Linked DNA regions of Rhinolophus ferrumequinum. The main gene of each other region encodes a partner of the protein of the gene in region 2 in a complex. Links are inferred from orthologs where the notes say so. Each region holds a gene or a part of one and is shown on either strand. Other genes may lie near its edges.

Region 1 (7,331 bases), on a different chromosome or scaffold from region 2:
TACAAACCCCCTGCAACACACCCCATGTCACAGCCTGAGGCACATCCCACACTCTTTCAAGGTCCCTGCACACAACTTGTCCTCTGCTTGGAAGACCACTGCCTACCCGCCCCAACCCCCACACACTGTTCATCCCATTCTTCCTGATTCGAAGTTGACCTCAGTTTATCCCTCCTGTAGACTGAGCTAATCCCACCCCCCTGGGAGCTGACAGCACTTGGTTCATTTTCTCAGCTCCTTTTCCATAAAAATTATCTGTTCACCACAATGGGCTGTGCGCTTCTTGAGGGTGAAAATTTCTCTTATTCATCAGAAGATGATCAACACGTATTTGTTTTAATGAATGAATTCACATTTCAGTTTTAAATAGAGTTTAACAGGGCTGTGTCTTCGGCCCTTTTCTTTTAAGCCTAGATTTCAGTAATGACAGTTTTGGGGTATATCCGCTATATGCCATCCTGCCCAGCAAATCAGTCACATATCCATTATGCAGATGACTCAGCTTTGCTCATCTGATTAGAAGTCAGCTTTGAAAAGTAAGTGGCTGGTTTGTTGATTCAAACAACAAAAGAACATCACTGTTTTGATTAACATCTACCTTTGGACAGCTGGATGATGTTCATGTATGTCACCTAGAAAGCTGATTCATTCAACTGTGAATGGGGAGGGTAGAGCAGGGGAGAGATCCGGCATTTTCAAGTCAGAGTGTCTGGGAGTGGACCCCCGTTCTGCCCTGGCTGGGCTGCACCGTGGTGACTGTGCTAAAAGGAGCAGGAAGTGATTGAGCTCAAGGGCGTTGGAGGGGTTACATTAGAAAATGCATCTTAAGTACTAATTAGGTGCCTGGCATATAGCAGAGCCTCATTACGTCTGAGGGAGTAATCTGGCAGCCTGAGGGGCTGTATTTGCCCCCCTTGACTTTTAAAATGTTGACTCTGAATGGCCATTCAGAGCTCTCCAGTTTGTGCTGCGGGCCAGGCCCTATTCTAAACATGCTCCATGCTTTATCCTCGGAGGTGGCCATAATCGTTACTCTTATTTTCTAGATGAGGAAAGCGAGACAAAGAAATATCTATTTGAGTATATTTTGTAGCTAAAACCTTCACACCAGTCCCAAAGGAGTCAGTGTCTCTCACGCTTATTCTACTAGCATCACATGAGCTGGCGTAGCAGAGCTGATACAAGTGTGGCCTCTGGAGCCAGGTTCAGTTCTCCCACGAGTTGTGTCATCTTGTGCAGGAGAAGAAAACTTTTCCCTTCTTCCCTTCTAGGTTCTTTGGCTGGTCTAATAAATTGACATAAGCCAGATTAACAGGAGGAAAAACAATTTAATTTGTACGTAGAGGAGCTCATAGAAATATGAGACTCAAAGAAGTGACCAAAGCAGGCAGTTTATACACCTTTTTTAGACAAAGAAAAATACGTGTGAAGAATTGACAAAACAAACGGGTTTGGGCTTGGGGTAGCTGTTGAGTGGAGAAGTACCAAGTTTTGTTTATGTAGCATTCTGGCCTTGAGTTCCCATGTCTGGTGATAAGGGTGTCTCTCTACGTCCTGGTACCGGGAGACCTTGCACATGGGAGATGTATCTCCTGCTTTCAAGGACTCAGGGGGCTCAGGGTATCTTTCTTGGACTGGCTGCAAGTAACTTTAATTCAAAATAATCAATATGCCAAAGTGGTATATTTGGGGATGGCATATTGTGCTCCCACTCACTTGGGAAAGGTATCTCTGTGCCTTAGTTTCCTTATCTAGAAAATGGGGATGACGATAATAACAGCATCTACTTCCCTGTGTTGTTATGAAGATTTGATAAAATGCTAGGTGTAAAGATAAGCACTGCCTGTCATTATGGGTGCCTTACACACTCTCTCTACCCTCTCCCACCACTTCCTTCCCCACTCCATCACAGGCAGCATGTCATGTATGTTAGCACCGTCAGGCAGAAGAGAGATGGCGAAATATATGAAGCGACATGTGGTTAGCGGGGAGACAGGATGAGTAACAGAAATATTTGGTGGTTTGCAAGGAACTGGACAGCAGAGGGTTGTGTAAAAGTATTCAAATGAAACAATTTTTAAAAATGTGCTGACCAAATGGATTAAGCTGGTCTCTAGTTTGTTTACTTGCTTGATCCCTGAGGTTATCTGGGTCTATTTTGTAGCTTACACTCTCAGGAAGGACCAAAAGAAATCGTTTGTATACAAGCTCATCTTTCTCTAGACACAATGAAGCTCTCTGTAAAACTTATATAGCTGCAGGTAAAACCTGTGTTCTAAGCCCAGATGACCGTCTCCAAGCTCTGGGTGCCAAAGTGTGGCGTTTCAGCCAAATCTTACCTTCAACTGCATTACATATGGTAATGTAATGGTGAAAACACCCAAGGAAAGCCCAGCACACAAAAGACTCTCTGTTTGTGCCTCTCCCATTAACCTTAGGCTGGAGAGACAAGGCACTGTGAGGTTCTGCAGTTAGGTGTTATGGTATCTCCTGCAAATATAGATGGCTGTAACATCAACTAAGCACCACTCCAGATAATTCTATCAGAAGCTTATGTATAAAGCTGGTGGCCTCTGTTCCTGTGACATTTTAGGATTCACGAACATGGAGGCATGGTAGTGGGCAGCGTAGAGGGAGGCGGGGGCTCAAATTCTGGCACTTTAGACCTGTTTGCTGGAACAAGTAGGGAGGACAATAGACATTTATCCAAATAGGCGAGACAGGGTCCCAGGGCATGGTGACACTGGGGGGAGGCCCAGGCAGGTCCTGGAGGCCTAAGCAGGATGGAACACAAGACAGACTTCCAAGTCTAGGCAGGAAACAGCCGCATACCTGAATGCCTGGAGTGACAAACAAGGTCCTCGTCACTGGCTTTGGGTATCAGGCAAAGAGGGAGTGCCCCAGCGTCCATGGAGGCAGGTGCCTGGAGAACCAGGCCAGCTACTATGGGATTGAGCTATGTTCTATTTGCATTTTCCCCCCAAGCAAGCTTATAATGGAAATCACTATGGAAACACTATTCATGCATCAGAAATCTATTTTTCACCTAGATTTTTGTTCGAATGTTTTGTTTTGTTCTTTGAATGCTTTTTTGAATGAGGTAAAGCATATCTGATTTTAGAAGTTTGTCTGAATTCAATTCTATCAGAAGCTCAGCCCCACTGAAATGGGGGAACCCAGAAAAGCACCCCATCACTGTATTTCACCAATCGAAAAATATCACAAGCTTTCTAATTTATAAAGTTATTCTATTAACTTGAACTACTTTCTCAAATAGGAAGAAATAAAGCTGAGTTGCTTGATACGAAGAAAAGGGTGCAATGATCAATTTTATGAAAGTAGAAAAGAGGAACTATACCACTAGCTAACGCTACTTAAATATTTCTCACCGGGCATTTTTCTCACTTGCTAGACTTCATGTCTCGGTAACATCATTATCACTGCTGGGTTGAGATCTTCCCTATTTTGCAACTCAATTTTCTGAATGAATATATTTAGAAACTATATTTATAAACATACTCTAAATTTATGGCCAACAGGCAGGCAAAGAGGCAGCTTTGCCCTCCACCCTCCACCCCCCCTCCCATTACTTACCTTTCTTCTTCATTCAAAGAGCTAAACATAGTTTCTTCTTTGCTTGCCTCTTTCATTTTCTATTTAGTCTTGCTAAGTTAGGGATTTTTGACCCATAAGTTAGGGGATTTTGACCCCGGTAATTCACCTACTATATATTAATATAAAAAGATACAAACCACTGGTAAGTGCTTGGGACGTTGGGTTTCCTGGGTTATTTTAACTGTGCAGAAGCAAGTTTCCTCCCATCCCACTCAGAATTACCAGATCACCGCCCCCGTTATTTGTTTCAGCAGTGCGGAATACCTGTCGGGTCGCCCTTGTTGGAGCCTGCGATCAGCCCCTTCCAGGATTTACACAGGTGGCCTCCGAGGCGACCCGCACCTCCCCGGGTAGCTCCTCCCAGCCAGGGTTAGGGCTGCCGCGCAGGCTCTAGGACCGCGACGCGGGCAGGAGGCGGTGCCTGGCCGAGAGCCGGGCGGGGCCGGCTCCAGAGTCCCCCGCAGGCGCACCTCAGGCGGGAGAGTCGTGCGCCGGGGGAGTGGGCGGGGCCGCGCGCAGGGCGGTCCTGGCGCGCGGAGTGGGCGGGGTTCCGCGTGGGGCGGTCCCCGTACGCGGCGGGTGGGGGGGGCGCGCCGCTGGGCAGCGCAGCTGCGGGGCAGACCGGGCATTAGGGCCTCAGCGGAGCCCGCTCCTCAGCGCGCTGGGCGGGGTGTGCGGCGGGTGGCTTCGCTGGCAGGCGCGGGCCCGGAGGCAGCGGCTGCGCCCTGCGCCGGGGAGGAGCCGGGGGCGGGCGGCCGGCAGGCGGGGGCTGGGGCCCGAGGCGGGGAGTGCCGGAGCGCCCGCGGCGACGACGGCAGCGGCGGCAGAGCAGGCTCCGTGCGTGGGTCCGCGGCGGCTCGGGGTCCGCCCGCGGGCCGTAGTGTGAGCGGGCGGCCGGGCTCCCTTCCTCCCCCGCCCGCTGCCGCCGCCGCCGCCACTGTGATTGGGTGGAAGATGGCGCTGGGCGGATGGAAATCCTAATGACAGTCTCCAAATTCGCCTCCATCTGTACCATGGTAGGTGCGGCGGGAGGGCAGCCGGGGCGACCCGGGATCCCTGGGGCGGGCGGGCGGTGCGGCCCTGGTCCCCGCCACTCACCCGGGTGGTCCGCGGAGCCGGGTCGTGAGGCGGCAGGCGGGCGGGGGCGGTTGGACTCCGGCGGGCAGGGGGCGCGGGTATTAGCGGCCCCCCGGGAGGGGGAGGCGGCGGGCGAGCCTGGGCGGCTCGAGGGTGACCAGCGAGGGGACACCGGTGCTGGACGTAGCGGGGAGCGGGCACTGGTCTCCAGCGCCCCGGCGCTCAACTGCTGAAGTCTTCCCGCGGCGCCGGGGCCGAGCGGCGGGGAGCGCCGGGCTGTGGGCGCGCGAGCTGGAGCGCGGTCCCGGCTGGGGTCGGAGGTGGAAGGACGCGGAGCGGCGCGCGCCGTTTCCGTCTGGCGGTGCGCGGAGCGGGGAGGTGGCCCTGGGCGCGGGTGGGGGTCCGCCGGCAGGAAGGCAGGGTCTCGTTCCTGCGGGAGAAAGGACGGAAGTCAAGTGCAGATTTCCTTCCCGCGGCGCGGGCGAGGCCGAGTCCCCCACCCGGTGCTCTGGAGAAGGGGGTGTGTATGAAGGTGGAAACTTTAAATAAGTGCTGTGGAAAATTTCCCCATTTCTACTCTGAGAGCGACGAGCTCTCCTTTTTCCAACCGTGTGTCCAGGTGGCAGTCTTGTCTTTGGGAATCCACGATAATATTGAAAACAGCTTAAGCTTTCCTGTCATTTGTTTACTTGATACACCGGGCACATCTGTGTGTGGCTCGAAGTAGTTCTGTGCAGGGACTGACTGCGAGCGTTATTGTGTGTGTTTTATCGGAGTTTTTAAATAGACTCTGACAGCGAAGTGCTAATGCCTGTGGAAAAGTCCCGAATGAAGCAAAACGTGGGTGCGTGTAAATCTCGGTGTTTTTGTGCTTAGGCAGAAGCACAATTTTCCACACGATGGGGCAAATTCGTTTCATTAGTTCTGTGAGGCTACATCTAGGGATCATAATTAGGAGCCGTTGCAGAAAAAGTTATTCTTTGCAACGTGGGCCTGGTGATCATGTTACTGAAGACTTCTGAAATCTTTCCTTCTGTCTATAGGAGGTCCCCAAACAGTCTTCCATTGAAGGGTGAGGCATTTTTATGTATCTTTTTTAAAGGAGTGGTGAGTCAGATCCAAAAGGTACTCTAGAAGCAGATTCTACACTGCTTTAGATGTTGATGAACAGTGTAAAAAATGGCCGAAATCAGGTGGGGTTAAAATCTGCAGGATTAAAGAAATCACATTGCATGAATCATTGGAGAATGCGTTTTCTGAAATAGATTTTTTTCCCTTCACAATTTATATTTTAGGAAGCACTGATATTAAAGGAACTGTATTGAAAGGATTTCTGAGGGTCATTTGGATTAATTATTTTTAGATATGCTGGTGATTATCTTACCATATTTCAAAAGGAATGTGATAATTAAGTCTTTGAAAGTGATAATCTTGCCAGATTGCTGAGCTACACGGATTGTCAGGTCATAGTTCATTGTCAAAGTCTAGTACTTCTGGAATGATGTGTTACTACTCTTTCCTAACCATTCATTCACACAGTATATCAGGTACACATTTGGCACCTACTTAGTGGTAGAGACTCAGTGCTGAGTGCTGGGGATGCAGCGGTGATCAAGACAGTCCCTGCTTTCATGGTGTTTACATTCTAGTTGAGGCGGACAGTATTCAAATGAACAGATTAATAACGCATGCTATAATCAGATTAGGAAACATGAGTAAGTGGGATTCTGATCTCAATGTCAGACTCCAAAGCTCTTTTTAGGGTTTCCGCTCTGGGGCATTGCATGTGGTGGGTGTGTATGGTTGGCGAATACAGAAACACCAACCAGTGCCTGGCCAAATGAGATTGTTCCAAAAGTAGTGTTAAAATTGCATCTATATTTATATTTGAATAAATTCTGATGTGTTTCTAAAGTAATGCAAATATCTGAAAGTAATCTGCAATGTTATTCTTTAAAGAAAACTGTAACCCACCTCCTGAGAATTACAAAATTGACAATCAAGAAAAGCAAAGATATTTGGCTCTCTGCCTTTGTAGATGCTATTTTGCTAGGCTTTGAACACTTCCCCCTTCCCCCTTTGTCAGTGAGTTCATACCTGACTGTCAGGCAGTTGACATTACTTGAATAATCCTTCCCCTGGCAATCCCTGTCCTGTCTTCCTTTTGTAATTTCACTGCTTTTTGTAATCTCAATAGCCTCGTATGTACTATGTTGTAAATTTTTCTCTCCTTTGCTTTTTGGATTGTGAAAGCCTCAAGGGGAAGGACTACCATTTATTTCTGCCCTTTGGTGGAGCACTAACTTCTGCATACAATAAAACAGTTTCCCCACTCCCTCTTTTCCTACCAGTAAGTGAGGACGAGATTGGGATGTGTGTGGAGTGGTGGAGGGGCTGCACCTAAAGATAGTTCTCAGAATCAGTAGCTGTGAAAACATTTATGATGAATTGAGATTTTATTCCGTAAATAATAAAGTTTATAAAGTTTTCATTAGGCAATGTAAGGTACCTGGGCAAAGTGGCACTACCAGGGTTGGGTAACTTTTTCTGTTAACAGCAAATCTTCAGATATGTGTTACTCTAGATCACTCTTGTTCTGCTACATGTGAATATTAGTAAAGTTTGTTTTTCCTAAATTA
Region 2 (7,291 bases):
GTTTCTGTTTTGTTTGTTCGTTCACTCTATTCTTTAGATTCCACATATAAGTGAGATCATATGGTATTTGTCTTTCTCTGACTTATTTCACTTAGCATAATACCCTCTGGGTCCATCCATGTTATTGCAGATGGGCAGATTTCATTCTTTTTTATGGCTGAGTAATATTCCATTATATATACAGAAGGTGCCAAAAAAAGTATACACATTTTAAGAAAGGAAAATACTGTATTAAAATTGTAATACTCAATATATACTGATTATAAAAGATGAATACAAGTCATGTGTATACATTTTTTTGGCACCCCGGTACATGCCACGTGCCACATCCTCTGTATCCAATTGTCTATTGATGGGCGTTATTTGTGGCTTGTTTGCAATGAACATGCACTAGTTTAAAAAACACTTCCATCAACAAAAGTTCTCCCTCATGTTGAGATAAAATCAATCTCTGTGGCTTCTCACATTGGTTTCTAGACCCTGGGGACAAATTCTGAAAGCAGCTAAAAAGAGTTACCGAACCTTCTCTTCTGCAGGCTAGTCTTAGTTCTTCTGAATGTTCTTCATAGGAAGTGGCTTCAAGCGACTTTGGCAATCGACTGCTATACTTTATTAGGACAAAGTGATAAGTGTTAACCTCAAACTCTAGTTTTGTGCTCTGACCAGTGAATCGTGGAATTATCATCTCCCTCATTCTACATGCCATGGCTCACATTCAGCTTATTAAAACACTCAGTTTTTCCACACACACTGCAGTTAACTTACATTTTCCCTGTCCTATACTTTTATATTCTTTTAAGTCTAAATACAAGAAACTGATTAACTTTCTTGTAATTAACTCTCCTTACTACCCTAAGAAGTGTATCGCTCTGGTATCTAGAATACAATTAAATTACAATTTTGAGTTACACTTTAGTCAGGAGCAGACATTCTCACTACCTGGCCTGCATGCTGGGGTTACTTAAATCCTGTCACTGATGCACTTAAAAGTCACCTAACAGGGTAAGGTATTGTAGATTTTTATTAATTTCACTCAATTCAGCAAGCATCTACTGAATGCTCAGGACACTGTACTTACCAAAGAAATCAATAAAACAAAGAAGTGAACTGCCCAGAAGACTACGGCTTATAGCAATTTGCTGTGGTATCTTACTGAAGAAAGCCTTTGTCCTACCCTGTTTCCCCAAAAATAACACCTCGCTGGACAATCAGCTCTAAAGCGTCTTTTGGAGCAAAAATTAATATAACACCCGGTATCATATGTTATACTATATTATTACATAAGATCTGGTCTTATATTAATTTTTGCTCCAAAAGACACATTAGAGCTGATTGTCCGGCTAGGTCTCATTTTCGGGAAAACATGGTATTAAACACTCAGATTTCAACTTGTAGAACTACATATATATGACGTCTGACAATTAAGTTCGCGAACTCATCCTAGAAAAAGGGCATCCTAGAGAAAGTTCAGCTCACTGCTGAACTATGGTTACCTTTGAAGTACTCCCCCTGGGAAGCTATGCACCAATGCCAAGTGCCTAGTCCACCCTTCAGAGCAATTTTGAAACTCTTTTTCTGGAATGGCCATCAGAGCTGTCATCGTATTACCCTTGAGTTCCTGAATGTCATCAAAATGTCTTCCTTTCAATATTTCCTTTATCTTCGGGTAAAGAAAGAAGTCATTGGGGGCCAGATCAGGTGAATAGGGAGGACGGTGCAGTACAGTTATTTGTTTACTGGCTAAAAACTCCCTCACAGATAGTGCAGTGTGAGCTGGTGGATGCGTTGACATGATGCAAAAGCCATGAATTATTGGCAAAAAGTTCAAGCCGTCTTTTACACGCAAGCCTTGTCAGCACTTCCAAATAGTAACCTCGGTTAACTGTTTGTCCAGTTGGTACAAATTCATAATGAATAATCCTTTTGACACCAAAAAAGGTTAGCAACATCTTTGCAACAAATTTGTGAACTTAATTGTCAGACCCCATATAATGCTGTTTTTATAAAGAAAGCCTGGTGGCTACTTATTCCTATACTGTCAATTCTTTGCACATTTTTGGGACCAAACGAAGTGCTTAGTAATGTTTACTAAATAAGGTATAAGGTACGTAGTACCATATACCTGCAGGCAAACACCTGTAATACAGGGCTTCTACTCACTCTTTGCATCGCTTAAAATAATAGGTACTCTTAAAAGTACCCAAAACAAAAGCGGATTCACGAAGGCATAAAGCACCCACGGAAGGGTTAGATAACCTTTTACCCTTGGATAATAAACTACAGAAATAGGAAAGAAGAATCATGGATGCACATCGAAGATGAAGAAATGGGGAAGGCGAAATGAAATTCCGAAACAAAAATGATATTCTCCCCACTAACGCTGGCACACTGTCACGTCGTTTCCACCACACCACGGGGAAAGCGCCCGCATAAAAAAAAAGGCAGGGGACGTTTTTTATGCAGAATCCCCGCAGAAAACCCGCAGGGCGGTCCGCACTCCGCCGCCCGCCACGCCCCCGCACAGGCCCACGGTCTCCTTCGCCGCCTGCCCACGGGGAACGCGCTCGGAGGCCTCCGCTCCGACGCGGCTGGGGCTGAGCGCTCCGGGGGAGGGGAGGGAAGGGCAGGGCAGGGGAAGGCAGGTGGGCGGGGAACGAGCCAATCCTCTCCCCGCCGGCCCAAGCCCACGAGAAAGCGGGCGACCGGCAGCCGCAAGCTCCGAAGCGAGCACTCGCGGGGCCCGCTGCGGGCCCAGCCCGGAGCCCCCGGCCCCTTCGTCCAGCCGTTAGCGCCGCGGCCCCACCCCTCGCCGCCGGCCGCGCCCCGTCCCACTCGCCCCCAGCCGCCACCCCGGCCCACCGCGGCCCGCGCCGTCTGCTCGCTGGAGGTGGGCCCGGAGCTGCCAGCCACGTCCGCGAGGGCGAGGAGCCGGGCTCCCATACCTGCACTTTCCTCCGCCCCGCCGTGTTCTGCCGGTGATGGGCCGCCATCTTGCATGTTGACACTCCGACGTCACTTCTGGAAGCAGCTAGGTCCGGGCGGATGTCCCGCCTCTTCCTCTTAGGCCAAGGGCAGGTGGGTAGGCGGAGGGCGTGCTGGTCGGGGGCTGCCCGACTGCAGTGTGTGGCTATGGCCGGTGGCCCTGGGGTGAGGGAGGAGCACCGAAAAATGGTTGCGTGCGTGTAATGCTGGCAGAGCCAGTTTTGAGCCGAGGGAGCAATCCGAATCCAACTCTGTGTGCCCCTCAACCCTGGCTTGCACTGTTCTCTGTCTGGGATGCCAATTCCAGAGGCCCAAGCAGGCTTAAGGGAAGCGCTGAAAGATTTAATAATGCTGGACACGGGCGGCTGGCACGGATTTCCCACACCCCCAACTTCCCTAGGCAGCCAAGGGAACTGACAGGTTTTCCATGACATATCCCAAAATGCAGAAAATTATAAACTGGTCTCGGAGAAATAGAAGTGTTTGGAAAGGAGGCGGCCCCCATCTTCAAGGAGCATCAAAGTATGTATTTAAATAAGAAATAAAAGGACGTTAGGAAGGCAACATCCTTTAACACTGGTTAAAATTGTTCTCAGAGACAACTTTCTAAGTTGCAGATCCTGAAGGAGTTGTGCTCACTCTAGAATCTTATACTAGGGCAATTAGCCCTTCTGGGTGAAGGTTTGACTTGAAGTTTTCCTGACACTAATTATTGGTGCTGAGGATAGTCAGACTCCCTTGTTTTTTTTTGTTTTTTGTTTTTTTTTTTTTTGTTTTTTTTTTTTTGTCAGACTCCCTTGTGAAAGGGAACCCTATAGAACTGCACTGTTTCATGTGTGGCTCTTGAGCACTTGACATATATGCTAGTTCAAATTGAGATGTGATGAAACTAAAATGACCACCTAATTTCAAAGACTTAGTACAAAGAAAAGAATGTAAAATACCTGAATAATTTTCAGCTTGATTACATCTTGAAATAATGTTTTGGCTATATTAGGTTAAAATATTAAAATTATATTTTTGTGTTTTATAATGTGGCTCTTAGTATATTTAAAGTTACATATATAGTCACTTTTTTTGCATAGTGCTAATAAAGAAATAATGCTTAGGAAAGTTCTTGTCTAGACAAATGCCTTTCTAAATTAATAAAGAAATATGAATTAAGAGTCGTAGAAACTGGAGGCATAAAGCTTCTTAAGCAAAACTGGCGGTGATAACTTGTAGATAAATGACCCATACTGCATTTTATTACAGATACATTCATTTTTCGTGTATTAATTTATTTGACAAATATTATTTAGCACTTGTTAAGTACTAGGTACTATATTAGGTGCTGGGGATCAGTAGTGACTGTATATAACCATAGAACTTAGAGTTCCAGGGTAAGACATAACTTGATTATGCATATAAATGAATATGGAGATAAATACAGTGAAGAAAGACATTTATAAGATAGGAAACGATTCTTGAGTCAAAATCTGAGAATCGGGGCAGACGGGTGGCTCAGTTGGTTAGAGCGTGAGCTCTGGGCATCAGGGTTGCCAGTTCGATTCCCACATGGGCCAACAAGCTGTGCCCTCCGCAACTAGAATGAAGACAACAACGAGCTGCCGCTGAGCTGCCACGGAGCTCCCAGGCAGCTGGATGGCTCAGTTGGTTGGAGCGCGTCCTCTCAACCTCAAGGTTGCCGGTTCCACTCCTGCAAGGGATGGTGGTGGGCTGCGCCCCCTGCAACTAAGATTGAACAACCGCAACTGGACTTGGAGCTGAGCTGCGCCCTCCACAACTAAGAAAGGACAACTTGACTTGGAGCTGATGGGTCCTGGGAAAAACACACTGTTCCCCAATAAAGTCCTGTTCCCCTTCCCCAATAAAATCTTTAAAAAAAAAAAAGAAAAGATCTGAGGATGGAGTTAACTAGACAATGAAAAGGAACAGTCTGAGCAAAGATTTGTGGCAGGAGGGAGCTTGGAACATTCCAGGAATTGAGGACCAAGCCTAGAGTACAGAGAAGGGGAAGGAGTATGCAGAGACCACACACAGCTGGGTCTTTTAGATCAATGGGAACCTGTTGAAAGGATTTAAGCAGGAGAAGCATTTGATCTGCATTAGAAACAATAATTCAACACATATCCATTGCACACCCATGATGTACCAGGCACCAGGCAGGCATGTTGCCCTGCACAATATGCTGGTACCTGCCAGAAATGGATGCTTAGGTTGTTGTGGTCCCACTTTGCACCTGAAGAGCATTGAAGTTGTGGTCTTTTCAGTGGGCAGAATATCTAGCAGTATGTCTTGAAGTTCACTTTACCTGAAGGAGAGATGGCCTTGGGTAATAATTAATGGTCCAAGCCTAATTGTTTGGCCAGTTGGTTCAGGACATGGAAAGAGAAAGATTGGAGGACTAGTGACAGGAAAGACTCAGGAAGGGATATCCTCGACCTTGCAGAATACATCTTAAGAATTAAGAATTTATTGAACAGATGACATGAACTGCTCTTAGATGAAACTCAGCCTCCTTATCCAGGCTCAGTGCAATCATGAATGAAATGGCAATAATAGCAGGATTGGAGCTATGCGTGGCATCACCAAGCCACTGCTGAGTGTTCAGCTTGCCAGCAACAGTGGCCAGTCCTGAGTTGGTGATATACCCCAAGCTCCGGGAGGATCAGCCAACCACTTGGAGGCAAGTCGATTCCATTGGCCCTTCCCGATCGTGGAGGGGGTAGTTATTTGGCCTCTGAAATACACTTACTCTAGACTTAGATTTCCTTTCCCCGCTTGCTGTGCTTCTGTCAGCACCACCATCGGGGACTTAGGGGATGTGTCATATACTGTTACTGTGTTTCACACCATATTGCTTCTGATCAACAAACTCACTCTGTAATGAAAGCAACTCTGTGGGCTATTGCTTGTAGAATTCATTGGTCTAATTGTGTATTCTATCACCAAGAAGCACCTGGTCTTAATTGAAGACTTAGTTATGGTGCCTTCTGGGAGATAACCCTTTTTGATGCTGTCTTACAGGATGCAGTATATGCTTTGAACCAGTGTCCAGTGTTTGGCACGCTTTCTCCCTGTGCTTATCTATTGCTGCATCACCACGCAAAACTTACCGGTTTAAAACAACTACAACATCTACTTTGCTTACAAATCTAATTGGTGCAGGGCTCACCAATTAGGGGACAGCTTGTCTATGTTCCACTTTCCACTTGATTCAGTTGGGGCAGCTAAAATTGGGGGGCTGGGACCATCTAAAGGCCCACTCCTTCGTATGTCTGGTGACCGATGCTGAATTTATGGCCAGAACATCTACTCATGGGTTTTCCACTGTGCTGTTTGGTTATTTACACAGTAGTGCATGGGTTCCAAGGGCGAGCCTCCCCACGGAGAGAAATTCGGGTGGAAACTGTAATTAATGCTTTTTCTAAAGTAGCAGTGGAAATCCTGCAGTGTCACTTTAAACCACATTTAGTTCATTAAGGCTTAATCGCTAAGGCTGGTTATATCTAAGGAGATTCCATTTTCTTAAATGGGAAAAGTGTCAAAGAATTTGTGGATATGTTTTTAAAACTACCACACTTCCATAGGCAAAATGAATGGATTTAGGAACAAAGGAATATACCTAATGACTCCAACTTAAAATGTTTTTAACTGCTATTCTTTGAAATTCTGGGCTTTGCTGGTTTAGAGGTTTGTTACCAAAGAAAGGAATTCTTCCAACAAAGCCTGAACATTTCCATTGATTTGGAGATGAAACTGCTATCTAACTATGTTGCCTGTCTTATGTCACTGGATAGGCAAGAGAAGAAGGACATGGTATTGGTGGAAGTGATTAACCCTGAGTATCAAGCAGAAATAGGTTTGCTGGTATAAGCAGACAGGTCCATCAAACACTCAGATCCCTTAGAAACGAAGGTATTGGTTGAAGATAAAGGAACACAGAGTGGCTGGTGGAGAAAGGAAATCATAAATGAAAGTGAAGTCCTCATGATCAGGGGAAGAAATGAGAGCTGTCATCTTTATTGGTATTTCTTTTATTGATGTATCATGTATACTTTTATGGGTTTTAACTTTTTTTAACCCTTTATTTCACTATTGTCTGTAGGGTGTGCTATTCCTTGTAAATTTCATTATTTAGTCCGTAAGTTGCAGAGAAATGGATATCAACTAGACGTTTTGGACTTAGAAGTGGATGGATGAATGGGGTAATTGATGAAACACTGGGTTGACTCCCTTGGAGGGTGACAGAGTGAATACATCTTTGATTGTTTGAAGGATAGTTGCAGTATTTTAAGTGACAACT
Region 3 (7,762 bases), on a different chromosome or scaffold from region 2:
ATTTGAGGGAAAAAGGAGTGCTGTGTTTAGGACACTGTGCTATGGGATGTTTCCCAAGCTTGTTTTCAAGTTCCATGTGGTTTTATAAGGAAGTACCGAATCCTAACGTAATGATAGAACAAGCTCATGCAGTAAGATAAATCTGAGAGATTGGTTACTTCACACAGTGAGTCAGTAAACATTTCCAATATCCTAAAGATACCCATCGATGCCTATTTCTCTTTAGCAGGTCACTGTGGCAAACTCCTCAAAGTTTAAAAAACAAACATGCTTTTCATTATCTTACTGGATTAATCTCTGAATCTGAAAAATAATGACAAATTTGACCTAAAGTAAATACTCTTTATGTGTTAAGTTGCAAAATATTGGTATGCTCTTGTCCCCAATCTCCTGGATTGTGCCACTGTTCATACTCACTTCCTCAGTGATAGTATCCAGGCTTTAAACACTGTCTATCAGCTAATGCCTGCCAAACACACGTGGGCAGCTCAGACTTGAGTATTCTCTCCACACTTGATTATTGAACTGCCTCCTGGACATTTCTTCTAACTGCCTAATAGACATCTCACACCCATCATGTTCAAAACTGAACTCCTGGTCTTCCTTTCAAATCCTGCTCTGCTCCACTCTTTTCAGTTCAGTTAATGGAATGGCATTTCCATCCTCCAGTTGCTTATGCTCACTTTGCATTCATTTTTGACTCCTCCATTTCTCCCACCAGCCCTTTCTAACCTGCTGGGAAATCCTACTGGCTTTACCTTCAGAATATACCTAGGACTCTCTAACGTCTCTCAATCTCAACTGCTACCAGCCCTAGTTCAAGCTTCCACTGCCTTTGGCCTGGATTGCTACAGTTAGCCTCCAAAGTGGCCTTCCCTTCCACTTTTGCTTCCCTTAGTCTACTCTCAAACCAGCCAACAAATGGATTCGTAAACCCTGCAATGGCTTTCCTGCTCACTCTGCTCCAGCTACACTGACAGACTTGCTGTTCCTTGAACATGCTAGGTAGGCACACTCCTGCCCTGGGGTCTCTGCCATGGCTTTTCCTCTGCTTGGTCAGCTATTTCCCAGATCTGCCCACGGCCCACTCCCTCACCTCTTTCAAGTCTTTGCTGAAATGCCACCTTCTCAATGAGACTTACCTTGACTACCATATTTTAAATGGCAAACCACTCAACACACCCCCAAGCGATCCTCTTACTTTACTCCACTTTTCCTAGCACAATCGCTAGTCGGTTTATTTGTTTGTTTATCCTGTCTTCTTGCAATATAGACTCCATGATTGTGGGATTTTTGTTTGTTGATGCATCCCCCAGGCTAGAATTAGTGTGGCACATGGGGACACTCAAATAAATATTTGAGGATACAAATAATTTTAACGAGTTCCCTCACATCCTTGAATGTGCATATACTCCGGTAGAAAGGCAGCATATACAAACGAAAAGATAAGTATCAATACAAGATAATTAGCATATGCTGACAAATACCAAAAGATGGTAATGTTTTAGGCTATTACATAGGACAAATGAAAGCTCGGAGGAGTGCCACAGAAGTTCAGAGAGGTAATTTTTAAATTTGGCAGGAAGGTAGTCACACCTCTTTGAAAATCTGATGAAAGCTATAGACTCCCATGATCCAATGAACATGTACACACAATTTTGAATATAATTACAAGGAGTTCAAACCCGCCCTGAAGCCAGCCATGAACTGGGAATTGAGAATTCTTGACTTTAAACATGGTTTTATCACCCAGGGCTTGGGACAGGCTTGGTGAAGATAGAACTTAAACTAATTCTTGAGGAACAGGCTATGAAAAGGAAAATAAAGGAAAGAAGGTTCTTTTCAAGCAAAAGAAAGAGCTAAGGGTGACAGCAGAACAGTTTGACTGGAATGAGGGATTTATGCAATACTTAACAGGCCAAGAACTGCTTGGTGTATAACTTAAATACGTATATGAATTTTGCAAATCACTGAAAGTGTTTGGGCAAGAGAATATATGTCTAAAGTATTGTTTCAATAAAATTAATTTGGAAGTTGTTTATAGGAGCAAAGTTGAGAGAAAAAGTGAAATTAAGGAAATCATTCATAAAGCCATTTTATAATGATTCAAGTTTGAAGAAAAGGAAAGTGAACCGATAAGGTTTAGAGAATAATGAATTTGAGGCACAAATCCAATTAGAAATGCCTGGTTTGAAACTGAAAATCAGAAATGAACTTCAGATCGGGCCCAGTTATATAAATTCAGGTGTTATTTACTGAATCTTTGAGTGTGGTGGAAAAAAAATTACAAGAGAAAAAGTATTAAGAATACAGATTATTCGGGGGACGGCCTGTGGCTCAGGCGGTTGGAGCTCCGTGCTCCTAACTCCGAAGGCTGCCGGTTCGATTCCCACATGGGCCAGTGGACTCTCAACTACAAGGTTGCCAGTTCAACTCCCGCAAGGGATGGTGGGCTATGCCCCCTGCAACTAGCAATGGCAACTGGACCTGGAGCTGAGGTTCGATTCCCACATGGGCCAGTGGACTCTCAACTACAAGGTTGCCAGTTCAACTCCCGCAAGGGATGGTGGGCTATGCCCCCTGCAACTAGCAATGGCAACTGGACCTGGAGCTGAGGTTCGATTCCCACATGGGCCAGTGGACTCTCAACTACAAGGTTGCCAGTTCAACTCCCGCAAGGGATGGTGGGCTATGCCCCCTGCAACTAGCAATGGCAACTGGACCTGGAGCTGAGCTGCGCCCTCCACAACTAAGACTGAAAGGACAACAACTTGAAGCTGAACGGCACCCTCCACAACTAAGATTGAAAGGACAACAACTTGACTTGGAAAAAAGTCCTGGAAGTACACACTGTTCCCCAATAAAAGTCCTGTTCCCCTTCCCCAATAAAATTAAAAAAAAAATAAGAGGAGAGATCAAAAGATACATAGAAACAAATGCAAATGAAAATACATCCTACCATTAAAAAAAAAAATACAGATTATTCAAAGGCTTTGGATGAGACAAAGTGAACAGCCTATTATTGTAATCACAATAAAATATGTTGAATTTATATAGAATAGAACTTTAATAGGATGCTCGAGGTATACATGTATTATGGGTAATTGAAAATTGTGGTTGAGGGCTAATAAAATTTTTTGTTTTAATTTTTGCTTGCTATTTTTTCCTCCAAAAAGTATTATTATGCTTTTTTCTTCCTTGATAACTAGGGAACGCAGCTGAATTATTTTTAGATGATTCAGGATGTCACTATCCTATAAGGTGATCATCATAAATACTATTTTCAATGTAAAATCACTATAGAAAATTGGGATAAATCCTTGGTGACCACAGAAGACATCCAGGTATTTAAAGACTTCTGATTATCTATTTGACTTTTAGGTAAATGCAGATAGCATCAAAACAATACAAAATTTAAATATTTAGGGATCTATTGAGTGGGATTTGACTCTCGCTTTTTTGCCAACGTGCACAAAGGATACAGGATGTTAGTGTCAAGTGCATTATTACATCATTGGTAGAGTTTCCACTGGCATCTACCTGCTTTGTAATACATAAGATGTTTATGATCTGGACTCTTCTTACTTTAGAACTTACCTGCTCCAGTCTTTGTGACGCTCCAGCTATGATTTGAACTTAAAGAAATAGTTCATTTTTGGTGTAACAAATGTTGGAATGCCCGCCCCAAATTCTATCAGAATGTTTCTGTCACATTAGAACCTTCCTCATTCTAGTGCAACATGCCAAGAAAACCAGGTATAAAATGACACTTGTTTAATCTTCAACACGTACACCTGTCCTTATATATCTAGACAGAGTGCAGTATATGCATACAACTATGCCCAGTAAACAATTTCGCAGATTCCACTTGAGTCTTTTTTTTTTAAATCGATGATCTCTAATTTTATTAAGGGCTCTTAATAAAAGATTGAGCAAAAGAAGTGAATCCTGCTTAGAATTCCTGCTCTGGGTCCCAAAGCCATTCTCCTCCCCAACCCCTTTTCTCTAAACACCTGGTGAAGACAGACTTAAGAAACAAGTGCTCACAACCCACTTTCCTTAAAATTAGCCAATGCTCACTATAATAGGTATTCAGATATTTAACTGCAAACACATATTCTCTCTGTGTGTATATACTGTATTCCTCTCCCTCCACCCCGCCTAAAAGAAATGGTGAAGCGCAAAACTAAGGTCTTTCGGTACCTTTTCGGAAACTGACTTAGGGAGGTGCAGAGGGGATCCAGACGATTGTGCGGGGTGTCTGAAGGGAGGCCCCGGCGGGGGGGGAGGGGAGACGGGGAACCGGCCCTCGCAGCCTCCGGATGCTCCTGCACCCTCCCGAAGGGAGAACACCGGGGCTCCGCCCTCCGCTCTCGGTACCCCACGTGCTGACTCCCTAGGGGGCAGCTGCCGAGGCGGCTCTCTTTCTTTGCTCTTCTGGGTGCCGGGGCCCCTCAGAGCAGGGCCGCAGGCAGCTGAGGAGGCCACTCACTCCGAGTTCACCTCAGCGTTCCCGACCGCGGCTTCTACCTACCAACTCGGCCCTTGCCGGGCGGCGGACACAGCCACACGACTAGCCCGCCCCCGGGCGGAGCCTGGCCTCACCTGCACCGCGGCGGGGCCGCCCCAGGCCGCGCCCAGAGGAGGAGCCTGCGGACGCCCCGCAGCGTGGAGCGCGCCAGGTGAGCACGCCTGCGCAGTCAGGCCGTAAACAAGCCCGCCCCTTCCCCTCGGCCAGCCTCCGCTGGGCCGGCTCGCGAGTGGGAGGGGCCAGGAGGAAGAGCTGGAGGGAGAGGAAGGCGCCTGCGCGGTGGGCGTGATCCGGGCACTTGGGGCAGGATGAACGCTGCTTTCCAAGATGGCGACGGAGGGAGGAGGGAAGGAGATGAACGAGATTAAGACCCAATTCACCACCCGGGAAGGTCTGTACAAGCTGCTGCCGCACTCGGAGTACAGCCGGCCCAACCGGGTACCCTTCAACTCGCAGGGATCCAACCCTGTCCGCGTCTCCTTCGTAAACCTCAACGACCAGTCTGGCAACGGCGACCGCCTCTGCTTCAATGTGGGCCGGGAGCTCTACTTCTATATCTACAAGGGGGTCCGCAAGGTACCGACCCGGGCGTCACCGGGGCCACCCAGCGGCGTGGGCAGAGGCCGGGAGCAGGGCGGTGACAGCGGGGGCCAGGTTGACCGATAGGGGTGGCCGTCGCTCTTACTTCTGAGTGGGCCGGTAACTCCACTGGGGTGCCCCTGCGGAAGGGGGATTCGGGAGTGAGCCGGCTGGTGGCGGTGGCGTTTCGAAGGTATGGGGGCGGTAGAAAGGGACCGTGGGGTGCGGGGTTCGGTCTGGGAGGCCCCGGGAGGGGCCGTCTGCCTCTCCTCTGGCAGGGTCCGTCAGGCTCTGACACGGCCAGGGAGCGGGCCTGCGAGTCCCCGGAAGAGGTGGGGTGGCCGACTAGTCTACTTAGGTTGCCTCGCCTCCCGGGAGGGTTGGGAGTCTCGCTCTGGGTTAGAGAACAGGCGGCTTGGGAAGGTCTGTAAGGCGGAACCCGGGCTGGGAAGGAGAGGACTTGAGACTAGGTCAGAAAGGACCTGCTGGGCACGAAGGGCCACTCCACCTGCTGCCGCACTGACACTTCCTAGGAGCCTCTCCTGGTGTTGACACTCTATTTACAAAAACACCCGAGGGAGGACTGCTGTCACTGTCTCTGCCGAGGGAACCTTCTGAGAGGTTGTTAAAGAGGGTCATCTTGTCCCTTCTAGTATGGGAGGGCTGATTACTACAGTTGTGAGGTCGAAAGGATGTTGTCAATGAACTAAGGTGGTTCATAAGGGTTCGGTGTGAGCGTGCCCAGATCAGTCTTGTCCAACAAGTCAGACTATGTCCCAAACAGGGAGGGCTATGCCTTAAAAGCTACTTTACCAGAACCATTCTTGGCAGGCGACTTAACAGTAATTCTGTGAAGCATGTAATCATCCTTTAAAAATAATCTCTTTAAAAGAAGCAACTTATTAGAGCTTTTCTTTCATTGGCAACATAACTTTGTTCTCATTGAGAACTGTTTTTGAGATATGCGTTCTTTGACTTGACTCTTGGAAGAGAGGAAATTAAAATGTACTCCACAGCACCTAGGCATGGGAAAAGGTGATAACAGATTTAGAAATGTTCGGTTAGTGTAAAAATAAATTGTATATACTGAAGAGTGAACATTCTCTAAGTGTTAATAGCCAGAACAGGTTGCTTTTGCTTGGTTAAAAAAACTAGGGAATGACAGTGCTATCTAAATGACAGTGGTAGCAAGTTGTCTCATTTGTTCAAGGTGAATCTTTGTTGTTAGTGTTTGTGATAAGTGTACCATTCACTGTCTTTGAAGTATGCTGTTATAAGTTACTGAAAGCACACCGCTTGGCCTTACTTTTTCTCTTTTGGAACTAGGAAAGTGAAGTCATTAGACTAGGAGCTGAAGTTTTAGTCCTACTCCCAACTTTGTCACTGACTTGCTGGGTGACCTTGGACAAGTTATTTAACTTCTTTCTGGACCTTTTAAAAGGAGAAATGCTGCAGTACGCATGCTGTGATGTATAACATAAAGACTAATGAGCTTTAAAGCCCTGAAACAGTAGATGTAAAATATAGTTAAAATAAGCAGTAAGAGTAACTGTCAAGCGGGAAGCTTCTATCTTGACATTGGTACTAGGACCGAAAGGATCAGCTTTTTCTCTGGAAATAAGTTTGGAATTTTAAGTTAATAAATTTTATTTATATAAAGATACAAAAAGTGCTTAAAAACTAAATTTACTAGTAATTACTAGTGTAGGCATCACCATTTTTTAAAAAAGTTTTCTTTGAAAGTATATTATTTCTGGAGCATTCCAGTAGCAAACCTTATCTGGATCTGGCAGCCCTGGTTTGCATCATAAAAACAGGCCCCTTGCCTGAAAGTATCACAACAGTGTTCTCCTTTAGTGGGATGCTAACAGTGAAGGGTAAAACTTAGGGGAGCCTTTCAAAACCACCAAAAAATGATTTTGAACAAGACAAAAATCTTAAACATGCAAATTTGCGTTTAGTTGTGTAATGTAGTTGAGCACTTTAATTTTTTGGTGACATTTCATTTTCATGTGGTAATATCTTGTATTAAATACATTTGTATCTTGTAGATACACATGGTGGACGTTGCAACTCTCTTCTAGCCATTGTAATTAAAACATTTTTTTCCCTATGAACGAATTGGTTTATTAGTTTTGAGTACAGATGATTGTTTTTGTGACTCTGTTTTCTGATTTTAAAACAGAGCACATAATTTTCCTTAATCAGTAACCCAAACTGACTTTTTGGAGTTAGGCATTATACAGCAGATTTTTTTTTTTTTTTTTTTTTAAGATTTTATTGGGGAGGGGGCGCAGGACTTTATTGGGGAACAGTGTGTATTTCCAGGCCTGTTTTTCCAAGTCAAGTTGTTGTCCCTTCAGTCTTAGTTGTGGAGGGTGCCGTTCAGCTTCAAGTTGTTGTCCTTTCAGTCTTAGTTGTGGAGGGCGCAGCTCAGCTCCAGGTCCAGTTGCCGTTTTCTAGTTGCAGGGGGCATAGCCCACCATCCCTTGCGAGGAATTGAACCTGCGACCTTGTGGTTGAGAGGACGCACTCCAACCAACTGAGCCATCCGGGAGCTCAGCGGCAGCTCAGCTCAAGGTGCCATGTTCAATCTTAGTTGCAGGGGGCGGAGCCCACCATCCCTTGAGGGAGTCGAGGAATCGAACTGGC
Region 4 (7,751 bases), on a different chromosome or scaffold from region 2:
TGCTCCCCTTCCCCCCTGCTCCCCATTGCCATTCCCAGGCTACTGACAACTCTGGGATTCTCACCACAGATTTCTAACTGACCTCACCTAGAGTGCTTTTGCTTTCCTTCAAACCCTATTTCCCCATATGGTGGCCAGCTAGACTAATCTCTTCTTTCAGTTAATCAAAATGTATGAGCAAATAAAATCTAATCATGTTCCAACCGAGCTTAATAATCCTTCCACAGCATTTTAATTGGCACTCATAATAAGCCAATTGTTCCAAAGGCTCAGGGAATCTTAACAACCCATAAATACACTCATGATTTTAGATGCAGCTTCTCTGTTGTAGGAACTCTAAATTGATGCTCATACCAAAGTTAGCTTATCCTTATTTCATACTAATTGCAGGCAAAATGGAGCAAGGACATTCATAAACAATGCCAAGGAGCACCACCAATGAACTCGAGCAGTGCAAGTGCTGCGACTGCCTTCTTTTATCTTGGGATCACCAGTGCCACACAGAGCGTCTAGCACAAAGTATGTCTTTAGTAAGTATTTGTTCGATGCATGATGAAAAAGGAAAAAGGCTGTCACAAAGTTCCTCATAAAATTGAAATATAATCCACAGATACCAGTTTGGTTTCAAACTCAAGTCTACAGCCAGCAAAATGTTTTTCCCTCAAACAGCGAAATGTTTACTAGCATTTGCATATCAAGTGAGCTGCAATAACCTATATGACAATAAGGAAAAAAGGAAAGGAATGAATGTGCCAGTCTCAGTGCCTGAGACCAGAGGAGATTTTTAAAAATTCACATGACAAGGTTCTTTTCCTCCAGGAGCTTCCAGGCCACTTGGAAAGGCAATTGTTCAGATACTTAATATCTGAATTCTTGGCTCCTCCTATGGACAAGGCGCTGTGTCTTTCTTTAGATGTAAAATGAGTAAAACCAGGCCTGTCTCTTCATGTCTGATGAGGGTTGGGAAATAAACATTAACCAAATAGTCACATGCACAATAATTATAGCAGCTATCACTTATAGTGGTTCATATATGCCAGGTATATTTTTAGTATTTTACATAAACTTATGCAATCACACTCTGAGGGGTACTCTTATTGTCTTCATTTTGTAGATAAATTGTGGCTAGAGAGGTTAAAAAACCTTGCTCCAGGTGATACAGCTAGTTCAGGCAGCCTGGATCCAGGGTTCATTTTTCAACCACCCACTCTACTGCCTCCATGCTGTGTGCTACATGGCATAAACATATTTATAAATATAAGGTCTTTGAAGGAAAGATGGATGGTGCTATAAGAACATATAACAAGGGCATCTCATCTTGTCTCCAGTCATCGGAAGGCTGAGTGGCCTCCAGTCATCGGAAGGCTAAGCAAAGAGGGGAAGCAGGAGGGAGACAGACAGGAAACTGGTAACAATAGAAGGGAGAGTATGGAACCATCTGAATATGGGAGTTCTTTCGTGGTTGTGGTGTGGGAGAGCAATCTGGGATGGCCTCACGGAGGAGGCAAAACTATAGGAGGAAGACTTCCAAAGATCAGTTTAGTGAGTAGAGAAGAGAGGAAAAGAAAACATCATGAATTTGGAATGAGCCTAATGCATTTGGGGGGACAGGGAGACACTGGTTATTAGGATTCTTTCAGTTGTGTGTGACAGACACTCAATTTGAATGGGCCAAAGAAAACAAAGACTTTACTGACTTGAGTTGCTAGAGTCCAGGATATAGATCTAGCAGCTAGTGGATAAATGATGTGGTTAGGGTCTCTTTTCCATTCCTCAGCTTCATTTTTTTTCTACACTGGTTTCATTCTCAGGCAGTGGAAAGATGGCAGCTCTAGATTTTATCCTATCAGCTCAACAAACTCAGGAAGGGGAGTACCTCCTCTCCAAAAAACCCAGGGCTGATCCTCATTGGCTCAGTTTATATTACATTCTCCTTGCTGAAGCAATTACTGTGGCTGGGCAATCAGGCCACATTGGCCAGGCCTGGATCACGTGCCTTACTCTGGAGCCAGGAGGTGACTTAGCCACACCTGAACCTTAGGTTCTGGGAATGGGAGAGGAGTTCCCCAAAGTAGAATCTGGACCTGGGCAGGCAAAAACAGAGACCACCACCACCACAAGTGGTTGGCTGGAGCATTGCTCTTCACACTTCATATGCAGTCTCATTTAGTAGGTCTGGGATGCAATCTGAGAATCTGCACTTCTCACAGGCTCCCAGGTGACGCCAGTGCTGCTGCTTCACGGACCACACTTTGTGTAGCAAGAGGCATACTACCTGGAGTGACTGCCTCCCTCAGATTCATTCAAGCTGTTTAGTGCTAGCCTCCCATCCTTCCATTTGCCTACTTTTCCCAGTTCTATCTCTATACCTTCATACAAGCTAGTCCCTATACATGAAATGCTTTGCCTCAAAGTTCTTTCATTAGCTTGTCAACATTTTCATCATTTTACCTCTTATCATTTGCAAGTGTTTCCTTACTGAGTGAAGCCGAAGTTACAATTCTTCTTCAACTGATGCCTTTTTCAATTTAGACCTGTGAATACCAATCTAGTAGTGTAAACATGTATTTAATTATTCATGAGCCTGAGAAGATCTGCTGTGTTCAATTGATTTGTTGTGTATGTAATTCACTGCTTGAGTTTCAATCTGGATGTTTGTCTACATTGAACACTTCACTTTTAGGCTACACACTGTTAAAAGGCACGCAAAAGACTCTTTTAACTTGTTCATATAGCACTCAGTCATCAGATGATGTTCAATTTTCATTATGTCAGTGGGGTTTTCTGTCCCGTGGACTTTGCAATCCATTGTGTCAATGCCGGCAGAATGCTGAACTCTATGACGGTATAAAATTTCCATTATCATTTTAAGGCTTTGGATTAATGCCTTTATGGTGGAATGTCTGTGAAATTGAGTCCCGAGTCCTGAGTTTGGGCCCTGAAGGTTCTCCTGAACTTGTTTGGCCATTTTCCTTAAGTCTTTAAACCTTTCTAGGTCTGTTATCCAACTGGCCATAGTTTGGGTATTTTGCTCCCTTCTCCTCTCCCAGCCTGCTTAGCACACCAGCTACATTTGTAACATTTGGCAACAGGAGGCAGATTTGATCCTCTAGGTCTTATTTTACTGATCTGCAAAAGGCGATGAGGATAATAGCATCTATCACCTGATAGTCCTGACGGTAACTGAAGATCATGAATGTAAAGAACATCATGACTGACAATGGTAAGAACTCAAAGTTACTGATTATCATCATCAGGATTTGTTTGGAAATAAGATGTAGGTAGAATGACTTAACATATGCAGGAGTTTATTCCTTAAACCCATTGAAATATACACAGCTAACATGACCCCACAAAACTTGAGTCAGTAGTTATTTTGTTTTCACCCTAGTCCTAGGGATATTAGCAATCAATGGTTCTCAAATCTTCGTGTGTAACACTAAATAGATAATGGAGAATAGGATGTGGAATCTTTTCCCAGTATGGTACCCTTGGCTTGGTTAGATGAAAGCTGTCTTCAGTTATATTAATTTCTTCAAATGTCATTACATATATTGGTTTAAGAATTACCATGCGTTTCACTTGTACAACTTTTCGGTTGAAAGCACTGAATTGCAACCTTGTATGTAGAATTGTTTCACACATTTGGAAACGGGCTCCTTTCCACTTCGCATGAACGTATCTGCTAAGTGGTGTAGATTCGCTAGTTGAGCTAGGAGCCACGACCTTTTATGCAGGAAATGTGTCTGAGCCAGCAGAGCAGTCTTCTCAAAACCTAGAGGTTGAGTGCCCAGGAGAGAGGTAGTTTTTTCTTTAAGATGCGTTCAAGGTTGGTTCTTTCCGGATTCAAATCGCTCCTCGGACAGTCCCTACTCCTTGCCCAGAACCCGGACTTGTCCTTTGTACCTGTTAATGTCACAAACTGCCTGAGCGCGTCGCTCTGGCCTCCGCCCAAGACCCAGATTCTTCTCCCCTCGCGGCGCCCTTTACCAGGCAGCCGGCCCACGGCTGGCAAGGGCTTTCTCACACTCGCCTGTTCTGACCCCATTCTGGTCCTCGCCGGTGCCATCTGGCTGTAACCCCAGGGAGAAACTAAAAGTTGGCCTTAGTCACCCCTACCCTTTGCTTTCTCCACCCGCCAAAATATAAAGACCTGGGGCTGCTGCGAGACCGGAGGCAGGAAAGAAAAAGTGAAGCCAGAAAACTACCCCGTGTGGCACCGGCCCTCTCCGCGGCGTCCGTGCCTTGGGCCCGGGCTCCCGCCTCCCCAGCCTGCTGTCGGCCCGAGGCGCGGCCCCTTCCGCCAGGCGGTGCCCAACGCCCAGCGCTGTCCCTGGTTCCCGCCGGCGCCACGGGCCCGGAGGAGGCCGCCGCCGCCGCTGCCGCCGCGGCATCTGGGTCTGCCCCGGGGACCCGCGCGGTGAGGTTGCCGCAGCCGCGCAGGCGAGGGCCTGGGCCGGCATTTCAGTCCAAAGATAGTGAAGCAGAATATAAAAAGGAAAAGAAAAAGGCCGAGCCCGGTGGCCCGGGGCGCGGGCGGCTGGAAGAGGGCGTAGAGGCCCGGGGCCAGGTGCCGGGCCGGCGGGAGGCCGGGCGCACGGAGGCAGCGCGGGGCGCGGGCCGCACGCGGCGCGCTCAGGCGGCCCCTCCTCCTCGCGCCCGCGGCCGCGGCCCAGGCTCCCCCACTCCGCCACTCCCCGCCCTCCGCTCTCCCGCCCGCCCTCCCCGCCTTCCCCGCCCTCCCCGCCTCCGCCTCCTCCCTCCCAGCCTCCCTCTCCCAGCCAAACTGAAAGCCGGACCCCAGGCCGCCTCCCCGCCGCCTCCCCGCCGCCGCCCGGCCTCCCTGCGGGCGCTCCACCATGGACAGTCCTGTTTTCACCTTATAAAGATGGCGGTGCGGGATCGCTGCAACCTTTAGACTAATGACTGTCCGAAACATCGCCTCCATCTGTAATATGGTGAGTGGCCGCCGCCGCCGTTGCCGCCTCGGGGGTCGCGCCCGAGGCGCGGCGAGGCAAAGAAAGGGAAACCCGAGCCGCACACTCGCCTGGCGCCGGGGTGGGGGTGGGGGCGAGGGGCGGCAGGGTCTGCGCCGCGTCGCTCGAAGTTCCCCGCCCCGGGCTGGGCGCGCCGGCCGCAGCCCCTAGAGCCCCCGGGGGAGGGGCCCCGAGCCCCCCTGCCCCGCTCTCTGCACTGGGACCTGGGAACCCGCCCGCTGGTACCCGGCCGCGCCGGGTGCCTCCGCCCTCGGGTTGCGGTGGAAGCGCCTTAGGGGGAGGCCGAACCCGGACGTCCCGGTGGAAGGGCTTGCGGGATAAGCCGGGGGGTGGGGGGTACCCATCCTGTCCTTGCGGTAGATGAAGCCCTGCGGGTCTCTCTGACCGCCCTCTTCACATTTTGAGTTCACTCCTTAAACTGTATTTAAAATGCACTTTCCAAAGGCAATCGCTGTATCTGGAGAAATTTGAAATGTAATAAAGCTATAAAAAAAGTGCAAAATTGTGCTTAGGGAAGTGAATTTCACCTGGTTTGAGAAAGCACGGTAATAGGTCTTAGATGCCTCAGTTTCCCCACCAGTGAAAGAGGGACAAGGTTATATGGCAGTGACATTTGAAGGCCCTGAGAGTGGTGGGACAGGCTGTGGGAGTGGAGGAGGTCTCCGGGGTGATCCGGCCTGATGCGCTGTAGGCTCTGTGTAGGCTGGTGGGTGTAGACACAGCAAGGGAATATCACTGGGCTCTGATGGGGACTGGTTCCAGGGCGGGGTGGTGACTTTAACTTGGGGTTCTCTTACAGCTTTCCCTTGCTTTTCAGTTTCTGCAGGAACAGCTTCCAGCCCTTGAGTCCCCAGGGTGCACCCTGCTGGCACCCCCACTTGTCAGAGCCTTGGGGTGCACAGCTTGCCTCCTGGAGTAAGACATTGCCCTCCTGTGCAGGCTGAAAGAGTGTCTGCTTTGCCTTCCTTCTCCAGGGTCCCCTCGTCCCAGCAAAGCTCCCTTATCTCCAGCTGGAACACGTGTTCTTTTAATGCTAGTTTGGGGAAAACCTCCCTAGTAGCTAATAATACAGGCCCCTAAAGGGAATCTGAGGAGGCTTGATTAGGAAGCCTGGAGGTAAGGTGATCTGGCTGCCCTTCCCCCATCACAGAGCTTTTTAAATCTTCTGTCCCACATTTTGTTGTAAGATTAACACATGGCAGAGAAGCATTAAGGAGCCATGTGTTCGCTCAGGAGTGGAATTGAGACCCACTGGTGCTGGCTTCAGTTTTCAGCACTGTTGGCTGTGGTCACTGCCATGGCCAGCAGAACAAATGCTGGGGCTTCCCAGAGTGATAGCTGCCAAGGTATTGGCACAGGACCAGTTAGATGTGGTGGGTGGATCCTGGAGCATATCCATTTCCTCTCTTTCCCGTCCTTCTCTACGCAGTTGGGTCTCCTGCTCCGTCTTCCTGTGGAGATAATGTTGCCTGGTGCAGTGGAAAGGTGATGCCTTCTAGGTTTCCCTCTATGCTAGACTAGCTCCTGAGGGGCCTGTGAAACCAGAGCAGCTCTAACACTCTTCTTTCATGCCTGCTGGAGTGGCCTCAGGCTTACAGGGCAGTGAGGTGCAGTCCCAGCCCTGGGTGGTGTTCCCGTCCTAAGCTAGTGTGTGGTGACACCTCTCTCTACTGAAGCAGGCTGGAAACTTGAGAGTGAGTAGCGCGTCCCAAGAGGAAGCCAGCCTCCAGCTTTTAAAAATTTATTTATTTCTCTCTCTCTCTATCTATCTATCTATCTACCTACCTACCCTCGGTGCAACTGGGGCTTTTTGGCACATCTGGACAGAATGTCGCAACCTATTCCCAGTAAAACTCAGCCACGGAGACAAGTGGCAGGGAGGACGTGAGAGGAGTGCGCTAGTATTGTCTGGAAAGTTGATACCTCGTAGAATCTTTAAATAGGTACCAAATTTAGGCTCATCACCTAGGTGTGGTGAGGAACCAATAAATAATTCAAAAGTAAGATGTTTTATCTTCTGGTTTGGACATTGTGTCTTGAGCAAGTGATGAAGATTTGGGCTCTCAAGTTAGACTTTCTGGGTTCAAGTCCTGGTTTTAACACATACTAGCTCTTTGTCCTTGAACAAGTTGTTCTTTGTCTTATCTATAAAGACAGGGTGATGATGGTTCCTACCTCCTAGGACTGTTGTATTAAATGAGTTACAAGTACTTATTGAGTGTTAGCTGTTTCCAACATCATTATGTCACCTTCAGTTGTTCAAAGGACAATGGGGAGTATGCCTTCTTGGACTTGATGACAGCAGCCACTAATATAAACAACCCACATGGTCATTTATGCAAACCAAGCCGAGTGACTGTATACAAAGCCTGGGATGGGAATCCATAATCCCGCCCCTTATGAAAGGCTGCTCAGGTCACCCTCGCCCCTCCCAGTCTCACTTCCCACACAGGAAGGCTTGGGGATGAGACTGCTGTCTTTTCACCTGATCAGATGTAAATTTTCATTGGACCTGTCTTTAGAGTCTTCACTCGATGATGAATTGTTTTCAGGTAGGTGGTCTGTGGGTTCCTTCTCACTGTTTAGCTTCTTTCTGGGGCTCTTATTGATCCTTCCCACTCTTAACTCCATTTGGTCCCAGCTGGTTTGAGTAGTTGTTATAAGAGCAAGTGGTGATTGCATTTTTTTAAAGCAGGTCATTTGGCATATTTTAAACAGGCTGATGTATGTGTCCAGAAACGGTGTTAAACGATA

The links.
Region 1: the proteins of WDR48 (region 2) and USP12 are in contact, whole or in part, in a crystal structure (PDB 5K1C), measured with the Homo sapiens proteins. The link is inferred for Rhinolophus ferrumequinum from reciprocal best matches to the Homo sapiens genes WDR48 and USP12. Residues at the interface, in NP_065890.1 of Homo sapiens: Arg50, Trp77, Asp118, Tyr119, Lys121, Leu137, Ser170, Tyr172, Thr188, Asp211, Asn212, Lys214, Ser230, Gly254, Trp256, Arg272, Ile363, Ile364, Leu424, Lys425; in NP_872294.2 of Homo sapiens: Arg185, Leu187, Thr188, Cys189, Glu190, Thr191, Ser227, Lys230, Cys236, Arg237, Ser238, Lys239, Gln240, Glu241, His243.
Region 3: the proteins of WDR48 (region 2) and WDR20 are in contact, whole or in part, in a crystal structure (PDB 5K1C), measured with the Homo sapiens proteins. The link is inferred for Rhinolophus ferrumequinum from reciprocal best matches to the Homo sapiens genes WDR48 and WDR20. Residues at the interface, in NP_065890.1 of Homo sapiens: Val191, Lys207, Gly208, Gly240, Gln241, Gln242, Arg243, Cys244, Ile245; in NP_653175.2 of Homo sapiens: Arg20, Ser364, Thr384, Glu385, Asp386, Glu524, Pro525, Leu526.
Region 4: the proteins of WDR48 (region 2) and USP46 are in contact, whole or in part, in a crystal structure (PDB 6JLQ), measured with the Homo sapiens proteins. The link is inferred for Rhinolophus ferrumequinum from reciprocal best matches to the Homo sapiens genes WDR48 and USP46. Residues at the interface, in NP_065890.1 of Homo sapiens: Arg50, Trp77, Asp118, Tyr119, Lys121, Leu137, Arg139, Ser170, Tyr172, Thr188, Asp211, Asn212, Lys214, Ser230, Gly254, Trp256, Arg272, Ile364, Leu424, Lys425, Gly521; in NP_073743.2 of Homo sapiens: Arg181, Leu183, Asn184, Cys185, Glu186, Thr187, Cys222, Ser223, Glu224, Lys226, Cys232, Cys233, Ser234, Lys235, Gln236, Glu237, Gln239.

Annotation. Positions count from the first base shown.
Region 1 is NC_046287.1:99,322,120-99,329,450, reverse strand, and holds the start of USP12 (ubiquitin carboxyl-terminal hydrolase 12), read left to right. Parts: upstream 1-4,325; 5' UTR 4,326-4,583; coding exon 4,584-4,631; intron 4,632-7,331. UniProt on the Homo sapiens protein: Deubiquitinating enzyme that plays various roles in the regulation of the immune response and inflammation.
Region 2 is NC_046300.1:13,617,882-13,625,172, forward strand, and holds the start of WDR48 (WD repeat-containing protein 48), read right to left. Parts: upstream 3,013-7,291; 5' UTR 2,991-3,012; coding exon 2,943-2,990; intron 1-2,942. UniProt on the Homo sapiens protein: Regulator of deubiquitinating complexes, which acts as a strong activator of USP1, USP12 and USP46. Enhances the USP1-mediated deubiquitination of FANCD2; USP1 being almost inactive by itself.
Region 3 is NC_046289.1:2,665,722-2,673,483, reverse strand, and holds the start of WDR20 (WD repeat-containing protein 20), read left to right. Parts: upstream 1-4,750; 5' UTR 4,751-4,858; coding exon 4,859-5,107; intron 5,108-7,762. UniProt on the Homo sapiens protein: Regulator of deubiquitinating complexes. Activates deubiquitinating activity of complexes containing USP12. Anchors at the base of the ubiquitin-contacting loop of USP12 and remotely modulates the catalytic center of the enzyme.
Region 4 is NC_046288.1:15,426,443-15,434,193, reverse strand, and holds the start of USP46 (ubiquitin carboxyl-terminal hydrolase 46), read left to right. Parts: upstream 1-4,751; 5' UTR 4,752-4,922; coding exon 4,923-4,958; intron 4,959-7,751. UniProt on the Homo sapiens protein: Deubiquitinating enzyme that plays a role in behavior, possibly by regulating GABA action. May act by mediating the deubiquitination of GAD1/GAD67.